Linked DNA regions of Xenopus tropicalis. The protein of the gene in region 1 purifies or fractionates together with the protein of each later gene. This does not show direct contact. Links are inferred from orthologs where the notes say so. Each region holds a gene or a part of one and is shown in the gene's direction. Other genes may lie near its edges.

Region 1 (4,065 bases):
CTTATAGAAAACAATGAAACCACTTCCAGGCTGTATGCAGTGGCTACTTATTTTCTTGCTCAATTTACAGCCCTGTGTGTACAAATAGCTGTATATAAATATAAAATGTGCTTACATAAATCACCACATAAGACACCAGTTTATGTGTGTTGGTATAAGAGCCAATAGTTATTTTGGGCATGAGCAGCAGTTTTTCAAGAGACAGCGGCGTATGTAGAAGTTACTGCGCTCTTTATAAAAAATCATTTTACAGTTTAACTAAATATTCAGGGGCCTATAGTGTTAACATTCCCAATAGCTTTAAACCCTACACTTCCTTATTTCACTATTACTGGGCGGAAGCCCATGTATCTATCTTGCTATAAGGATGTTTTGTATCTTTGGCCCATGAGACTTATGATTACTTGCTGCACACTGTAACATAGTGTTCAGCAGGAGGTGAGAACTTCTTATTTGGCCTGCATCTGTTGAAACAGGTACATGATCAACAAGGCCTCAGTAAAGCCATCTATCTCTAGAGAAGTCGGGGAGCAGGGACCCTGTGAACGAGGATTTAGTAAGTGCAGGATATATTCTCCTTTACAGTCTCCACTGCCTAATTGAAGGGGCCACAGTTATAACAAGGGTATCAGGCATAGCCTTCTCCCTCATATATGTCTGCTGTTTGGGATCTGGTCCATTAAGGTAAGAAACTTTAAGGAAAAAGATGCCCTACAGTGGTGCATCTTTACATTGCTTGCTCTGCATTTAACGTGCCAATCTGTTGCCCTGCATCTGCATTGTGAGTATTACTGCATTAACCTGTGGACCATTTGTCTTGGACAAATAAACTGAGTTCTGTTTGAGTTTGCTGCAAGAACCATCTGGTACCCTTTATTTCTTTATTTTTGCACACAGCATAAGTGAATTGTAGTTGCACAACTACATGTCCCCCTTGGTCCTTTCACATAACAAAGGCCCATCCTGTGTGTTAGTCAAGTGTACCCCATGCTCCATAGCCCATCTAGCTGGTCTTTGTTTTGCAGCCAAAAAGGGGTTGCAATTATAAGATAGTTTCATAAAATGTTCATTAGTCAGTGACCCACTAGGCACACAAGCGGTAGCAGAGTACCTATTCCCCTCAGCTGACAGCCCGGTTCGACAAGCCTCTAATCTCCACACCAGCCCTGGCACAGAGAGATAGAACAGCAGCCCTAAGAGAGCACAGCTAGGGCCAGGGTAATGTTGCCTGTCATGCCCCACAGATGCCGGTGGTGGCGCTGTCTCTCCAGGAGCACCGTGCCCAGGGAACACCATAAGAACAAAGTTACTGTGCGAGCTACTTATTATTATAATAATTAATTAAGACCAGTAACATGTGCATGCGTTAATAAAGAGTGCTGTGTAAATGCGGATGTATGCAGCCCCCCTGCTTCCAATTGTTCGCATGTTTCTCGTAGCTCTGATCAGGAACTCCCTGAGCCCCGGTGCAGCAGCAGGCCCGGGGCTGCCATCCTGCCTCTAAGCTATAGCTGCTATGTGCGAACAGGCAGCGCCTCAGCCACACACACATGTATACTCTCCCTGTGCTAGCCTTGACTGACAGCTTCAGCAGAGGGCTGCTGACGTCAGAGCTGGCTCCGGTTGTCAAGGGCAACCTATTTGGCAAGCGAGCTGTGAAAAAAAGACAGGGAATAAAGGGCCCGCCCAGGAGGCCTCCTGCTGCTCTGACGTCAATGGACGTTAACTGTGAGAACATGATGCCTTGTGCATAGAGCGGTACATTGGCTTCCTGCTGCACAGCTGCCTCCACTCCCTGTGTCTGGTCGCACGCGTGCTACAGCGACTAACAATACCTCTGTGCAAGTGAATGGGAGCTGCACAATGCTCGTTACTTTGCAACACTTTAGCCGTAAATCTGCCTGCAACGACTTGATGAGCTGACTTTATCGGACCTGTGAAAACTCAGCCCGATTGGTTGCGTTTTGTTTGCATGTTAATGTCAGACGTTCCCACCTTGCATGGATGTGTGAGAGCTCATTCGGGTATAACCGTGCTGAACACATGGCAGGAGCTGGACAATGCAAGCAGTAACGCGTTCCATTTGGGAATTCTTCGCCACCATCAACTTTACAGAAAAGTCTTGCGATTGTATGTAATGTGCGGGCGCTAGAAGCTGAATGTAGTTTGCGTTGGGTTGCACTTGCCTATAAGGAATGGCTAAGGTGAGCCCCCTGTGAGCGCCTGTAGGATCTGCCTGCGATTCCTTTCACTGCGACTTGTTGGGGGGTGTGAGCACTAATCGTGCCGGTTGATGTCTGTTTCCCGTTGGAGCTTCCTGGCCCGGCTCCCAGCATGGTCATGGCGGACTGTCAGAAGCCTGTACAGAGGGGTCCTGTCCGGGTCGGATTTTATGACATAGAACGCACTTTAGGGAAAGGGAATTTCGCGGTGGTGAAGCTGGCGAGGCACCGGATCACCAAAACCGAGGCAAGTACTGGCCAAATGTCTGGCTAATAACTTGTGTGAGCTTCACTGCATCCCTCTGCTGTTCTTGCACTACAACTCTTGGCGCAAAACTGCAGCGTGTTTTAGCGCAATAACAGCTGGGAAGCCGCTTCTTTTACATTTCAACTATTTCCATTTTCTATTATGCCAATAAGGGCATTTTCTGCCTATTGCCTTATCCCTGCAAAGTGCTGGGCACCCAAATGTGACAGTGCTGTGTTCTGGTAGGGAGTGTTGCTGCTGAGGACTTGCTGGGCACCAACTTACAGCATTACCTTTCCTTAGCAAGTGATAATGCTGGACATGTAATTATGGCATTGGTGTTACCTGGTAGGTGCTGGGCAGTGGCACCTATTTATGGCATTGTTTTACAATTGTGAGAGTGTTTGCAGTGCACCCATACTCCTTTACACTAGTGAGGTCTTATGTTAGACATCCAGACATGCCTTTGCATTACCTTTGTAAGTACCATTACTGGGCTTTTAAATATGGCATTGCTTTATCCTGGTAAAGGCTTTTGCTGGGTTCTCCTATATGGCATTTTTCCCTTTAATGGTTAAGCTTGTGGTGTCTAAGTATGGCATAGTTTACAGGGTAAGGTTATTGCTCTAACTTGGTAAGTGTTATTTTTGGGGATCCAAGTGTGCCATTGCTTTAGCCTGGTAAGGTCTGCTGGTGGCCACCTAAACGTGACATTTCTTTTCCCATTAACAACTGGTGTCAACTATGACACTGCCAAGTAAGGGTAAAGATAATAAATAGTAAAAATAAAAACATCTTGCCAACTGCAATAATAAAATTTTTATTTTTTATTGATGCCACATTATATAACTATAATTTCTTATTAATCCAGAGTCTTTAAAATCACAGTACAGACCTGCTTTGTGTGGCACCATGGAGACAATAAACATATTAATTGGCATAGAAATACTTTAGCAAACAAAGTTTGGGTACAAACAGCTTTTATTTTGCTAAATCTCATTACATTGCTTACTGTTTCGTGGCCCAAAGACAGCAAAGTCAAACATAAAGTACCAGCATCTTCTGTCTGGGAATACTAGGGGTTTGGGTTCAACAACCGCTAAGGTTTGCCAAACATGCTGTTGCTTTTCTCACTTACAGCCAGAGTTACAGGTGACTGGCAAAACCTACTCGGCCAAGTATCTTATGAACTGCACTAGTAACCAATTTGTTCCCTAGAATCCAAGAACACCGGTTCATGTTTACCTGCTGATTTATGAGCCACCTAGCAGGTTTAGCCCCTCACTTAATACCGCAGGTAAAGCTGTGCATTAATCCATAGTACCAATCAATTTTTCCTGCTTTTTCCAACTGCATCGCACTGATTAAAGGTATATCTCTGGCTGCTATTGGTTACTGCAGCATTTCAGTGAAGCATCTCTCTTAGAGAATGGGTTCATGGTTTGTTTGTTTGCCCAGTGTGTAGTTTTTATGATAAGTCATCTGAACAGAACATGAATTCTGCATTTTAGTTATGTTGCCATAAAATGCCTTGTAGTCACAATCTCAGGTATAGAAACCAACTCCAGTCACACTACCAAGATTGAGTGACACTCT
Region 2 (4,125 bases), on another chromosome or scaffold:
TCTCATTATCCTCTGTATAGTAATAAATACTGTAAATTCATAATGCTGAGTGTATATTGCAACCTAGACACTGGATACCCCCACACTTTGTGTTTTCTGCCTCCTTTTAGATTGTAAGCTCTATGGATCAAGGCTGTCTTTACCTACTGCATGGGCCACTCTTTGTATGTGAATTGTGTGTTTAAAGCATACACTCATTTATTGTACATTGCTGTTGGTACTTATTAAATGCACATTATTGATATTAATAATGGTACCCCTAAATAAAATCTACAATTCCCATAATGCTACCCTGTAGAGAAAAAAAGATCCCTGGCAATTCAACAAGAATGAGGCCCCCGAAATATTTGAGTTGGTTTCAGTTAGGGGTGCCTTGGGATAGAATTCCGATATGTATGCGACTGTTACACAATATATGCCAATTGTTCAACCCTTATCTTCACCTCTTGCAGGGCCGGAACTAGGGGTAGGCAGAAGAGGCAGCTGCCTAGGGTGCAACCATCAGGGGGTGCCAGGCAGAAGCCTCTCCTACCTACCCCTAGTCTGCTCTCTTTAGCCATTGCCCCCGCCGCTTGTCATCGAATCACGAACCTCCCCCGCGACTGCGCATGTGCGCTAAAGCACATGGGGAGTGGTGCGAGGTGGCCGACGGGGTTGCCTAGGTTGCCTAGGTTGCCCTGTTGGCTTGGCCCGCCCTGACCTCTTGTATCGGTTATTGATTGCTTTATATGTTACTCTGTATGTCCAATATATGTAACCCACTTATTGTACAGCGCCAGGGGTAGGCAGAAGAGGCAGCTGCCTAGGGAGCACCAATTGGGGGGCGCCATGAAGCCTCTCCTGCCTACCCCTAGTCCGTGCTCTTTAGTCATTGCCCCCGCCGCTTGTCCTTACGCAGAGGGGGCAATGCTCCATCAAATCGCAACACGAACCCCACCCCCCGCGTTCAACTGCGCATGTGCGTCAAAGGGGGGGTGCGAATGAGGAAGGTGCAGGGGCGAGGTGGCCGACCGGGTTGCCTAGGGCGCCCGGTAGGCATAGCCCGCCCCTGTACAGCGCTGCGGAATATGTTGGTGCTTTATAAATAAATGTTAATAATAATAATAATAATAACAACCCCCCCAGGGACCAGTGCAAATGCCCTTGGTGTCCTGCCCCATAAGCAGACCTTTGGCCAGTAACACACATCCCTGAGCCCCCTTTTCCCCGCAGTGTAATGCTCCCCGGTAGCAGTAGTAGCAGCAGTAGCAGTAGCAGTAGCAGCCCCTGATGCAGCCAGTGACTGGTGCGCTTGGCCCAGATCAATGTGCCTGGGAGGGGCGAGTTCTGATGCAGCAGCACAAGCCTATGACAGCAGCAAGCAGGCAAGTCGCACACTGCTCTCCCAGTCTCACGGCTGCTTTTTACCGCAGTGGGCGATCGCCTGGAAGCCAAGCGAGCATCCCCCAGCAGGAAGGGAGGAGGACGGTGCCCAGTGAGCGATCGGAGCAGCCCGGCGGGTCCCTATTGCTTGCGCAGCGGTGCCCCCCCCGTATCAGGATGGTGCGCTCCGGGGCTGGCTGCGCTCCCTTCCCGCGTTAGGCAGCAGCACTATGGATGGCGCTCTTGTAACGACCTCTGCTCATTTCATCAGTCCGCTGGGGACAGGCATGCTGAGTGCCGCTGCTGTCAATGGGCGAGGACGTGGACACGCGAAAAATTAACCACAGCTTTCTCCGGGATCACAACTATGTGACTGAAGGTACCAGCCCCCCAAATATCCCCCCCCCCCTCAGTGTTGTGAATATTGTGCCCCCTCTCTGTCACTTTGATTCCAATTGTGCCAGCCACACTGTGTCTTGTCATGGTATCCCCCGTGTGTGCCAGTCTATAATTCCCACTGTGTTGGGTATCATGCATTGGGGGGGCAGATGGGAGAGTCCAGCAGCATTGGCTTAGGGCAGTTAGGAACAGGTCCTGCCCTGACCCACTGAAAGGGGTTATTTACTGCAGAGTGGCCAAGTGAGGAAATCTAAATGACATAGGGGATAATTAACCAATAAACTACTCACTTCAGAAATGGTACCCAACCTCCTAATAAATCCTGTGAGACTGAATATCATGGGGATTTTCTTTGATTTGGTCAGTTTTTAGATTCAGTCAATTAATATTTAATAAATTTTGGTTTATCTATAAAACCTTAACCCTGGTATTTGTCGCCCTACAGCCAAATTACAACTCCCCCCCCCCCCTCCAGGGGTTGCTGGGAGTTAATGGTTGCTCAGCAGAGTGCCTGTCTATTGAGACAAATAAATGCAAAGCCAGGCGTTAAAGTGTCGGGTCGGTGGAAGGGGCACATTATTTGTGGTTCCCTCTGCCCTGAGCTTGATGAGCAGAGAGGATCGTATGTGAGGAGCTGACAATGGTGGAGCCGTGTAACAGCAGAGCAGTGAAAGCGCTCGGTCATGAAACCCTTTGGCTTGGTGCATCTCAGGGCAATAAATGTTTAATTAGTGATCCGAGAGCCTGCGCTCTAACGTGGATCGACAATAGTCAGGTCAGCAAAATTGCATCCCATGTAAATCGACCCACATATAAATGGCTCCAGCTGCAATTCATAAGGTTCCTAGTTCGGCCAGTCACACGGTCACGGATGGCTAGAGATACATGAATATCTATGGGCAATTAGAGGTGGCAGATATATATTTAATGCTAAATTAGATGGACTAGCGTGTGCTTGCATGTTCCCTTCAGAGACTGTTCCCCTGGTTGGCTTCATGGATCATTATTGGGTGACCAAGGGCTTAGCGCTCCTTATAAATGCACCCATCACAAGAAGGTTCTGCAGCAGCTTAGGCCTCTGCTTTATTAGATGGCCTAGTGGGTGTAGTCATCTATCTGTCTATCTATCTATCTATCTATCATCTATCTATCTATCATCATCTATCTATCATCATCTATCTGTCTGTCTATCTATCTATCTATCTATCTATCTATCTATCTATCTATCATCTATCATCTATCTATCATCTATCTATCTATCTATCTATCTATTATCTATCTATCTATCTATCTATCTATCTATCTATCTATCTATCTATCTGTCTGTCTGTCTGTCTATCTATCATCTATCTATCTATCTATCTATCTATCTATCTATCTATCTATCTATCTATCTATCTATCATCTATCTATCATCATCTATCTGTCTGTCTATCTATCTATCTATCTATCTATCTATCTATCTATCTATCTATCTATCTATCATCTATCTATCATCTATCTATTATCTATCTATCTATCTGTCTGTCTGTCTGTCTGTCTGTCTATCTATCTATCTATCTATCTATCTATCTATCATCTATCTATCTATCTATCTATCTATCTATCTATCTATCTATCTATCTCCCTATCATCTGTCTATCTGTCTATCTTTCTTGTATCTGTCCTTTTCTTCACCCATCAGAACAGACACAGCTTGAACATAGATTTATATTTTCTTTACCTTCGCATTTTAGCTGTTGTGCGTTGATAAGAGAGATGAGGGAGATGTGGAGACTTTGCCTGGATGCCCTGGAATCCATTAGATGTTCCTATGGGGTAGAGCTGAGGGTGTATTCTGTATATTCTTTTTGATGACTGGATTTGTTCTAAGTCTATTCTGATTCTTCCTCTGTGGGTCCTAATACAGTATAAAAGGAATAATTATCCCCACTTGTAAATACATGGTTATTAGACATAGTTGTGTGATCATGTAGGTATCAGGCCATGGTATACAGATGATGGAACTCCAGTGTGACTTGTAATATACGGTATCTCTACTTCTTTTTTTAACTTTTCTTTCCCCATTATTTCTCCCTCTCTTCTCCCACTCTCTCCTGTTCTCCCCTCTCTATACCTGTATTCACCTTTTTCCTTTACTTGTGTCCTCCCCTCTCTTCTCTTTTCCTTTTATCCCTTCCTTTCTGCTCGCTTTCTCTTCTTTTAACCGTTCTACTTTTCCTTCTCCCCTAATCTGCCCCTCATCCTTTTTATTCTGACACTCCTCTTATCCCGCACTACCCCTTCTCTCCCTATATCCTATTTTATTCTTTCTTTCAGTGGCGTAACTAGTGTGCCCTGGGTCCCCCTGCAAAAAAATCTTCA

The links.
Region 2: the proteins of sik2 (region 1) and ppp2r2c purify together in Homo sapiens (affinity purification with mass spectrometry; 3 studies listed by BioGRID and IntAct, counting the BioPlex papers as one, with this or other methods). This does not show direct contact. The link is inferred for Xenopus tropicalis from reciprocal best matches to the Homo sapiens genes SIK2 and PPP2R2C.

The regions. Positions count from the first base shown.
Region 1 is NC_030683.2:84,190,230-84,194,294, forward strand, and holds the start of sik2 (serine/threonine-protein kinase SIK2), read left to right. Parts: upstream 1-1,265; 5' UTR 1,266-2,334; coding exon 2,335-2,469; intron 2,470-4,065. UniProt on the Homo sapiens protein: Serine/threonine-protein kinase that plays a role in many biological processes such as fatty acid oxidation, autophagy, immune response or glucose metabolism.
Region 2 is NC_030677.2:25,387,935-25,392,059, forward strand, and holds the start of ppp2r2c (protein phosphatase 2, regulatory subunit B, gamma), read left to right. Parts: upstream 1-1,325; 5' UTR 1,326-1,671; coding exon 1,672-1,741; intron 1,742-4,125. UniProt on the Homo sapiens protein: The B regulatory subunit might modulate substrate selectivity and catalytic activity, and might also direct the localization of the catalytic enzyme to a particular subcellular compartment.